2 linked regions of the Arabidopsis thaliana genome follow. Each later gene encodes a partner of the first gene's protein in a complex. Each region holds a gene or a part of one and is shown in the gene's direction. Other genes may lie near its edges.

Region 1 (5,471 bases):
TCATATTAACAGGCGCCATTGAAGCTCAAGCTCGCCTTCTCCCGTAATCAAACCGGTGAAGTAAAATTAGGTCGTCGGCAAAACAACACTATTTCTATTATTTGTTATTCTAGCCCCCAATATTTCCTTTAGTTAAAAATAAGGCACTAACATTTTTTAAATTATCAGATGCGTCCTTCATTTGATTTGTTCTTAAACTCGTCTCCTGAAGGCTGAAACCCTTTGCTCTCACTCCCAAAACGATGTCGTCTCTATCTCGCGTTCTCCGTGGCACCTTCAACACTTGCCCGATCCGCCGTTTTTCCTCCGCCGCCACCGTAGTCTCCGAACCCACCGCAGTCACTGCCGCAATCTCGCCTCCTCAAAAGTCACTAACCAGTCTCGTGAATGGCGAACGAAACCCCAAACGGATCGTGGAGAAATTCAAGAAGGCATGTGAGTCGGAGCGGTTCCGGACCAACATAGCCGTGTACGATAGAACCGTGCGCCGTCTCGTAGCCGCAAAGAGATTACACTATGTCGAAGAGATTTTGGAGGAGCAGAAGAAGTACCGCGACATGTCAAAAGAGGGATTCGCGGCGAGGATCATTTCTCTGTATGGAAAAGCCGGCATGTTTGAAAATGCACAGAAGGTGTTCGAAGAAATGCCAAACAGAGACTGCAAGAGGTCAGTGTTGTCCTTCAATGCCTTGCTTAGTGCATATAGACTTTCCAAGAAATTCGATGTGGTTGAAGAACTTTTCAATGAGTTACCTGGAAAGTTATCAATCAAACCAGATATTGTATCTTACAATACTTTGATTAAGGCATTGTGTGAGAAGGATTCTTTACCTGAAGCTGTTGCATTGCTTGATGAGATTGAGAACAAGGGACTAAAACCTGATATAGTTACATTCAACACACTTTTACTGTCTTCGTATCTAAAGGGACAGTTTGAGCTAGGGGAAGAGATATGGGCTAAAATGGTGGAGAAGAATGTAGCAATAGACATCAGGACTTACAATGCTAGGCTGCTTGGATTAGCCAATGAGGCGAAATCGAAAGAGCTAGTAAATCTCTTTGGAGAACTTAAGGCTAGTGGGCTCAAACCTGATGTTTTCAGTTTCAATGCTATGATTAGAGGATCTATCAACGAAGGAAAAATGGACGAAGCTGAAGCGTGGTACAAAGAAATTGTGAAGCATGGTTATCGTCCTGATAAAGCTACCTTTGCTTTATTGCTTCCTGCTATGTGTAAAGCAGGTGACTTTGAGTCTGCGATTGAGCTCTTCAAGGAGACATTCAGTAAGCGGTATCTTGTCGGTCAAACAACGTTGCAGCAGTTAGTTGATGAATTGGTGAAAGGGTCTAAGAGAGAAGAAGCTGAGGAGATTGTGAAGATTGCAAAGACCAATGATTTCTTAAAGTTGAAGCTAAATTTGCCGTCCCAGGAAGAGTAAGTCATTTGCTACTCTCTCACTAAGTGTCTCGTTGAATTGTGTCTGAGCAGCTTAAGCTATATGTATTTGCTGGTGTTGCTTTGTGGCTTTTCTACTTCTCTAAACTTTCCTCTGTGGAAGTAAGACTTGTTTCTTTCTATGTAGTTTCGCTTATTTCACTGGTGCAAAAAACAGCATGTAGTCGAGGTTTAGGCAGAAGAAACCCTACAAATTTAATAAATTTTGGTTATTTGTTTTCTCTTTTTGACACGAATGAATTTATTATTTTTGTTGGAAAAATATTTTCATTTTATTTGGTAAATAAATAGTGTAAAATAACTTCATTAATTAGTTATTAAAAGCCCGAAATGCAAAAATAAAATAAAATAGATTCTCTTCTTGGTAAACAAGTAAAAAAAACAGCAAAAAAAATAGAAAAATATCGGAGTAGAAATAAACCGACTACCAAACAGTGGATAAGAGAGTTAAAACGAGCCCATAAAACCTGTTTCCAAACAGTCCATCTGTTAATTTTCCTTTTCTCCGATCAATTCCAAAACCCTACTTCAACCCTGCGATTCATTCATCATTCACAGAGTTTGAAGAAAACGCCGAAATCGGAAATGGCGTCTATTGTTCTTCGATCTCGCCTGTTGCCAAGATTAGCAAAGCTCAGATCTCGTAATCTGAGATGTTTCTCTGCGGAAGCATCTTCGACGAATTCTACATCTAGGTATTCGGGAGTCACCTCTACCCAGTCGATGTTTTCTGATTTTCCACCGCCAAATCAGCCGCCACCTCCTCCTCCTCCTCAAGTGGAAGCTGCTGCCGCGGCTGCGACGGGAAAGGAGAGGAAAGGTCTTAAGTATCTTGGTTACGCACTCCTCTGGGCACTCACTGGTGCTACCGCTGCTACTGGTTACGCAAGTTTTGGTATGTACTTGCATTCATGAATTATCTTTTTTCCCTCTCGTAGATTTCTAGTACAAAGTTGTTTTTGCTGTGAAATGCGAGTAAAAATGTGTTATGGTTTGCTTAATCGTGGCATTGCATTACATTTTCACATATCAGTCTTTTGAATTCAGTGTTCTTCACTTGGTAGAACTGTGTCTTTCTTCGTTATGTTGACTCTTTTTAGTTCTGATTATACTTGTTTGTTTCGTTATGCAGCTTACACGATAGATGAAGTGAATGAAAAGACTAAGGCGTTCCGAGAATCAGCTACGAAGACACCAGTTATTAAATCTTCTGGCATTGATGTGATTGATGTGAGTAAGCTTGGTAGCCTTGAGTCGCTGTCAAATTAATGTTGATCATAACTTGCTTCTGTATTAGTTGACTTTCTTTAGTCTCTGGCTTTCAAATGCGTGCTGCCATGTTTCTCTGCTTCAAGGTATTGTTTATAAGCTTCTCTGAATTAATACCCTTTATACTCATCTTTCTGCAGAAATATCAGACTAAGTTGTACTCTGCTGCAATGACAGGTATAGTTCTTGCGCCTCTGTCATCATAACTAATAGTATGTCTTTAATTAAGCATAGCATGAGTTGGTTTGCTTGAATTTTGATCAGGTTCTGCTAGAGCCATTGATAAGTATTTAGAGCTTAGGGAAATTGTGGAGGAACAAGTGAAAGTACGTCCTTTCACCGAGACACAACTTTTCTTTTTCTTGCATCTTCTTTTTTCTTCTAGAATTCTTATTTTTTGTCTGGTTCCTTATAGGGCTTCACGGAACCTCTCTCGGAAAAGCTTCTTCCGGATCTGCACCCCGCAGAACAGCATGTCTTCACTCTAGTTCTTGATTTAAATGAGACACTGCTTTACACTGACTGGAAGGTAACATTTCATTTATTTACTGATCATCAAAATACTTGCATCATAGATGTGAATATGTGACTCAGAGTATCTATGTTATGAAACAAAGCAGTTCTGGTGAACTACTTTGTTTTCTTAAGTAGTGCTGTATTTAACTTTTCCTGCCTTTTCATTTACAAAAATGTCTAGCGGGAAAGAGGGTGGAGGACATTCAAAAGACCAGGTGTCGATGCATTCTTGGAGCATCTTGGGAAATTCTATGAGATTGTCGTGTATTCTGACCAGATGGAGATGGTAAAGTCCCAATTGGTTTTTCTTTTTTCTCCTTTTTTGCTTGTAATATCATAGTAATGCGACTACTAACGCTTGTTTCATTACTTGTAGTATGTACTCCCGGTCTGTGAGAAATTAGACCCAAATGGCTACATACGTTATAAGCTAGCAAGAGGCGCTACTAAATATGAAAATGGAAAGCACTATAGGGTACGTAAGCAGCTAGCTTATCTTGTCAAAGCATACTTTCTGACTTGCCCGAGTAACTGTTTCTCAACTAACTATTAAAATTCCTGCTGCAGGATCTGTCAAAGCTGAACAGAGATCCGAAGAAGATTCTGTTTGTTAGCGCAAATGCCTTTGAATCAACCCTTCAGCCAGAAAATAGCGTGCCAATCAAGCCTTACAAACTAGAAGCTGATGACACAGCCCTAGTTGACCTGATACCCTTCCTTGAATGTAAGTATTGGTGAACTGAGGGATAAGTTCTGTTCCAGTCCGTGAACTGCCTGTATCAATTTTGTTTGGTTGATCTTCCTGTTTGGGTTATGCAGATGTTGCACGTAACAGTCCAGCAGACATCAGACCGGTTCTGGCCTCTTTTGAGAGAAAAGATATTGCCAAAGAGTTCATTGACAGGTCCATAGAGTATCAAAAGTGAGTCGATCAGAGCTTTTTTTTTACCCTATCGTATCAATGCAAAATCTGTTGGTAGTGTCCCACTAAGAGTGTCATATCTCTATGCAGGCGAAAGCAAGGACAACTGGGACAAGGTCGATTCTGGAGGCGTTAAAGGATCTAAGATTTATGTATAGAGCGAGAGACAATTATATCATCATTGATGGTGCACACCATAAAATAGGAACATGAGCTACCGTTCTTCGCTATGGATTTATTAGGTAAAATCCGAATTAAAATACTGTCTTTGTCATCAAAGAGTTTTTATGTTACCCAATTTTCCTCGTCTTTCTCTCTGCTTTACATAGAAAATTTCTATGAGAACGAAAAAGAAATTATCATATGGAAGGTTCATTTTTCGTTGACTAACAAATACCGTTTTTTTTCTCTGATTTATTTTTACTTGGTTTGACAAATGATTTATGATTATGAACTTTGAGAAATTATTGGTTGAAACGTCAATTTGTATGTATTGCTAAAAAAAAGAGTAAATTACCTTTTCTAGTACGCTTAATATTTATCTGTCTGTTTCAATGCGTGTCTTAAGGTGCAATATCAGGTTTACAATTAGGTAAATCAATTACAGATTTTTCTTGTTAATCTGAACCAAATAATTGTACTTTTTCCTAAATTTGAATTCATAAAGAGGGTCCAAGTCTAACAACCACTTACAAAGCTCCTTCACCCGTAATCCTTTTCAATGTGTCGTAATCAACCAACCAAAAACCATAAATTTATTGTAGTACAAAACAAAACTCCATGACTTTAAAGTACGACTCTTAAACACCACTTATATATTACACGACATATCGCTTAACTTCGAATTTCAGACACACAAACCCACTGAACATTCAAATGTCTCGTTCTCTTGTCTTCTTCTTCCTCTTTCTTGTCTTGGTCGTCCCTTGTCTCTCCCATGGAACCGGAGGAGACCACGACGACGATGAGGCTTCGCACGTTAAGAGTTCCGATCTCAAATCCAAATCCTTAATCTCCGTCAAGATCGCATGTCTTGTCATCATCTTTGTCCTCACGTTCATAAGCGGTGTATCTCCTTATTTCTTGAAATGGAGCCAAGGGTTTTTGGTTCTTGGTACACAATTCGCCGGAGGCGTGTTTCTTGCAACCGCCTTGATGCATTTCTTGTCGGACGCTGATGAGACGTTTCGTGGTTTGTTGACGGCGGAAGGAGAGTCGGAGCCATCTCCGGCTTACCCATTTGCTTATATGTTGGCTTGTGCTGGTTTTATGTTGACCATGCTTGCTGATTCTGTCATCGCTCATATC
Region 2 (3,796 bases), about 14 Mb from region 1:
TTTGTTGCTTTCTTGTTTGGCTTCTAATCAGACCATAACACCTCAAAGATGCTCTTTGATTCACCTTTTTTATTTAACTTTTGTATCTCTGATGTCTCAACTTAATTGATACTTCTGTTGGCACGGGTTAAATTTTCCAATTTTCTTTAGACCAATTATTTTACTATCTGTATATTTCCCTTGAAAACTTAATGCTTGTGGTAGTGGGCTTACTGGGCCAATCACTATGATCGTTTATAACGGGCCACTAGATTTTTGATGTTTAACTTTTTGAACCTCACTAGGCATTTACCCATTAGCTTCGTAGTGAAATGCATTGTTTTAGTAAATGGATGGACTCCGACACCATAAACTAGTGATCAATGAGATAGCTGGAAGACTAATAGCTAAAAGCCTAAAACCCTTCTGACGAAATGAGCAAAGTTGATATGCTGCATTTATACACATTATTACATTTTGTGACATGTCTTAGCTAGTTTAGTAAGGATGTAATTTAGATTATTTTTGAAATTGTGATGGTAGATCAACTGGCTCCACAACTCTCGATTTAATCCAAAATAGGGAATTTGCACTAACAAACCTTCTATTTTTCAAGTAATTGGTCGATTACAAATTTGTCCATAAATAACTAATGGCTTTGTGCGTCTTTTAAACAAGAATATGTTATAACAACACTGTTTAATCAAAAAAAAAACATGCTATCATGCACTTTTTTATTCATGATGCGAGATTACATGTTCATCCAATAATTTACTATTTTATCTACAGCCACATTTTTAAAAATACACAATAGCCCAAAGAGTGCATTGAGATAATTTGGTCAATCTGCAACAAAAATAATTATTTACCAACTACTATTTAGCACCATAGTCATATATCTAATTTTCTTCAAATTAGACCATCTAACTAAATACCTCTATGAAAAGCGCTTATTCAAACAGTTCACTTTCCTACTTAAATTAATCATAACTTCAGGGCGAGACATAAGACTACATATATAAACCAAGAAAAACCATTTATGGAACCAGTCACAGTACAACAACAATCACGGTCCATTCGATTCAACACTCTTTAGAATTACAAAACACTTTATGTAATAATGTAAGAATGTGAAAGAAGAGCCTCTAATTGAGTCCGAGACTCCCTCACTTACTCACACACACATTTTAGTTAACGGTGACTTTACCGACCATACCAGCACCCTGATGTGGCGCACAGTAGAAGCTGTAAGTCCCTGGCTCGGTCAAAGCAACCTCGTACGTCTCTCCCGCACCGTTGAGTAGATCTTGCTCGTCCATCGAGATCTTGGCCACGTCGACGCCACTTGGGATCTCGTCTTCATCGAAGACAACATTGTGTGGGTATCCAGCGTTGTTCTTGAACACAATCTTCTCTCCTTTAGCTATAGAGAAGTCGTTGGGAATAAAAGCTAACGACCCATCCCCTCCTCCCAAGAGAACTTCTATTGCCATGGCGTTTCCGGCCAAAGCAATTGAAGCTGCAGCCGCTACGGCCGCGACTCCGAAGTTCTTTAGAGATGACTTCACTGTAAGCTTCGGTGATGCAACAGCAGCAGTTTGGATTCTGACGGTGGCGGATGATTTGATGGTTGAGGCTTTAAGGCCGGTGAAAGATGGGATTGCAACGGTGGCTGAGGTTACTGAGGCCATGATGAAGATTCTTTTAGAGTAGTGATAAGATTTGGGTTTTAAGTTTTTCGTTTAGCTTTGGTTCGATCGAGTTTATGAGTTTTTATGTGGTGAAAGAGAGAAAGTGAGATAGGACAATGGATGGCTCTAAAAGCAAACTCCATAAAAAAACAAGTTATCTATAAAGACGCGTTGTGATTGGTTGATTTTAGATACTGTGTCGTGACATGGCATTATGAGGTGGAGGATGTTTGTCCACGTTTTAAATAAAGATAAGGTTCTTGAATGACGTGGCGTTTTTATATTAGTATTTTGTGATAAAGCGTGTTTACAAATGGGCCTTAATGGGCTTTGACCATGGTCAAGTAACGTGAACAACACGATATTTTTCCATTTTTGTAATTTTTCCTCATTCTTAGTTTCGTTTTCAAGGGCTCTTTTCTTATACCCTAAAAAGTTACTTGTAGATCAAAATCGAAAATCAATGGGAACTCCAGAATCATCGAGAGAGCCATGTCCGGATCGGATCCTAGATGATGTCGGAGGTGCGTTTGCGATGGGTGCTGTTGGTGGATCAGCGTATCACCTCATAAGAGGAATCTACAACTCTCCCGGCGGAGCTCGTCTCTCCGGCGGCGTTCAAGCTTTGAGAATGAGCGGGCCGAGAAGCGGAGGAAGCTTCTCCGTGTGGGGTGGTCTTTACTCAACCTTCGATTGTGCGTTGGTGTACGCAAGACAAAAGGAAGATCCATGGAACTCGATCTTATCTGGTGCAGCCACTGGAGGATTCCTCTCGTTGCGTCAAGGCTTAGGCGCGTCTGCTAGATCGGCTTTAGTCGGAGGTGTGTTGTTGGCTATGATAGAAGGAGTTGGTATCATGTTAAACAAAGTTCAGAGTACTGCGCATAACGAGCAGTTCATGGAGGATCATGCAGCTACTTCTTTACCATATGGTATGGGTCAGATATCTGGTCAGTCCGTACCGGTACCGGAGACTTCTTCTTCTTCTTCTGGTTCGGTATCTTGGTTTGGGAGTTTGTTTAAGAAGAAGAAAGAAACAGAGGATCATCATTCAGAGAGCAGAACTCACATTTTGGAGAGCTTTGATGCTCCTCCTGTGCCTACTTATGAGTTTAAGTGATGGAATTATTGAGGTCTGAATTTTACTTTTAATGTTAAGAGCTTAGTAACTAGAATTATATATTCTGCAATAAGTTTTATATAATAATATTATGAATTAGAGACTATTGTCAATTTGGATTGATATAATACCGTCTGGTTTTATGTATAATTTACCAATTGTTACAACATGATTAGCGTGAAGGTTAACTTCTTGTGATAATGTTGCTCGTATAAGTTTTAAAATTAACAAGTTCTCTCACTGGAATTGAGAAGCATACATGGATTATAAAGTGAAAGAGATACTATGGAATTGAATAGATGGAAAATATAAAGTGAACCAACAACTACTATATGTGCTTAGACATTTGAGATATAGTGTTGTGGAAGATATATTAGAGTACCAACAATACTACTCAGAAAAGTTCATATTGTAACTAGGCGATGTTGAAAGTGAAGTCATTGGGGTTCCATTTACCATTCTCCCGAAACCTCTCATGAAACATGACTTCCTTATTGCGTTTCACCGCCAATGCTATTGTACTCGTTATTTCATAGCGTCTTGTTTTCCCCTGAATCCAACGAAAGAGTACAAAAGAAAAGAGATTAATGCAGGTGTGGATTATATAAAGGGTAGATCAACATTGTTACATTCTCTTACAAATATGTCTTCTGAATCTTCTTTGTCAGTTTCAAATGGATCATACATAGTAAATCTCTCAGCAAGCTCCTTCATTGGTGTTACTTCTTCTCTGTCCGTATAATCACTCATCATCTCACAGGAAAATGTTTTCAGAAGTAATGCATGTATACCAAAAAAAGTGTTTGATTTGAATATACTATCAACTTGATGTGTTACAGATTGTTCTATAGAATTACCTCGGGAAATTGGATATCGAGTCCGGAAGAAGTAAGGGTATGCACACCAAAGTCTACCTCTTCCATATGGACATGTGAATCCTTTGCAGACCCTTACGAGATATAAAACATTGATTTTGACTTCATATCTGCCACAACTATGTGATAAG

What was found. Proteins that work in one complex are often made in the same cells at the same time.
Region 2: TIM50 (region 1) and TIM17-1 share a complex: the UniProt entries of both Arabidopsis thaliana proteins name them as parts of the TIM17:23 complex.

The regions. Positions count from the first base shown.
Region 1 is NC_003070.9:20,901,122-20,906,592, forward strand, and holds TIM50 (Haloacid dehalogenase-like hydrolase (HAD) superfamily protein), read left to right. Parts: upstream 1-1,944; 5' UTR 1,945-2,041; coding exon 2,042-2,351; intron 2,352-2,588; coding exon 2,589-2,686; intron 2,687-2,865; coding exon 2,866-2,902; intron 2,903-2,989; coding exon 2,990-3,051; intron 3,052-3,140; coding exon 3,141-3,254; intron 3,255-3,422; coding exon 3,423-3,527; intron 3,528-3,617; coding exon 3,618-3,716; intron 3,717-3,808; coding exon 3,809-3,965; intron 3,966-4,060; coding exon 4,061-4,163; intron 4,164-4,253; coding exon 4,254-4,299; 3' UTR 4,300-4,732; downstream 4,733-5,471. Other genes in the region: AT1G55880 (Pyridoxal-5'-phosphate-dependent enzyme family protein), read right to left, coding at 1-19; AT1G55890 (Tetratricopeptide repeat (TPR)-like superfamily protein), read left to right, coding at 243-1,439; ZIP11 (zinc transporter 11 precursor), read left to right, coding at 5,040-5,471. UniProt on the Arabidopsis thaliana protein: Essential component of the TIM17:23 complex, a complex that mediates the translocation of transit peptide-containing proteins across the mitochondrial inner membrane.
Region 2 is NC_003070.9:7,041,604-7,045,399, forward strand, and holds TIM17-1 (translocase inner membrane subunit 17-1), read left to right. Parts: upstream 1-2,024; 5' UTR 2,025-2,133; coding exon 2,134-2,790; 3' UTR 2,791-2,989; downstream 2,990-3,796. Other genes in the region: DRT112 (Cupredoxin superfamily protein), read right to left, coding at 1,167-1,670. UniProt on the Arabidopsis thaliana protein: Essential component of the TIM17:23 complex, a complex that mediates the translocation of transit peptide-containing proteins across the mitochondrial inner membrane. Links the inner and outer membranes.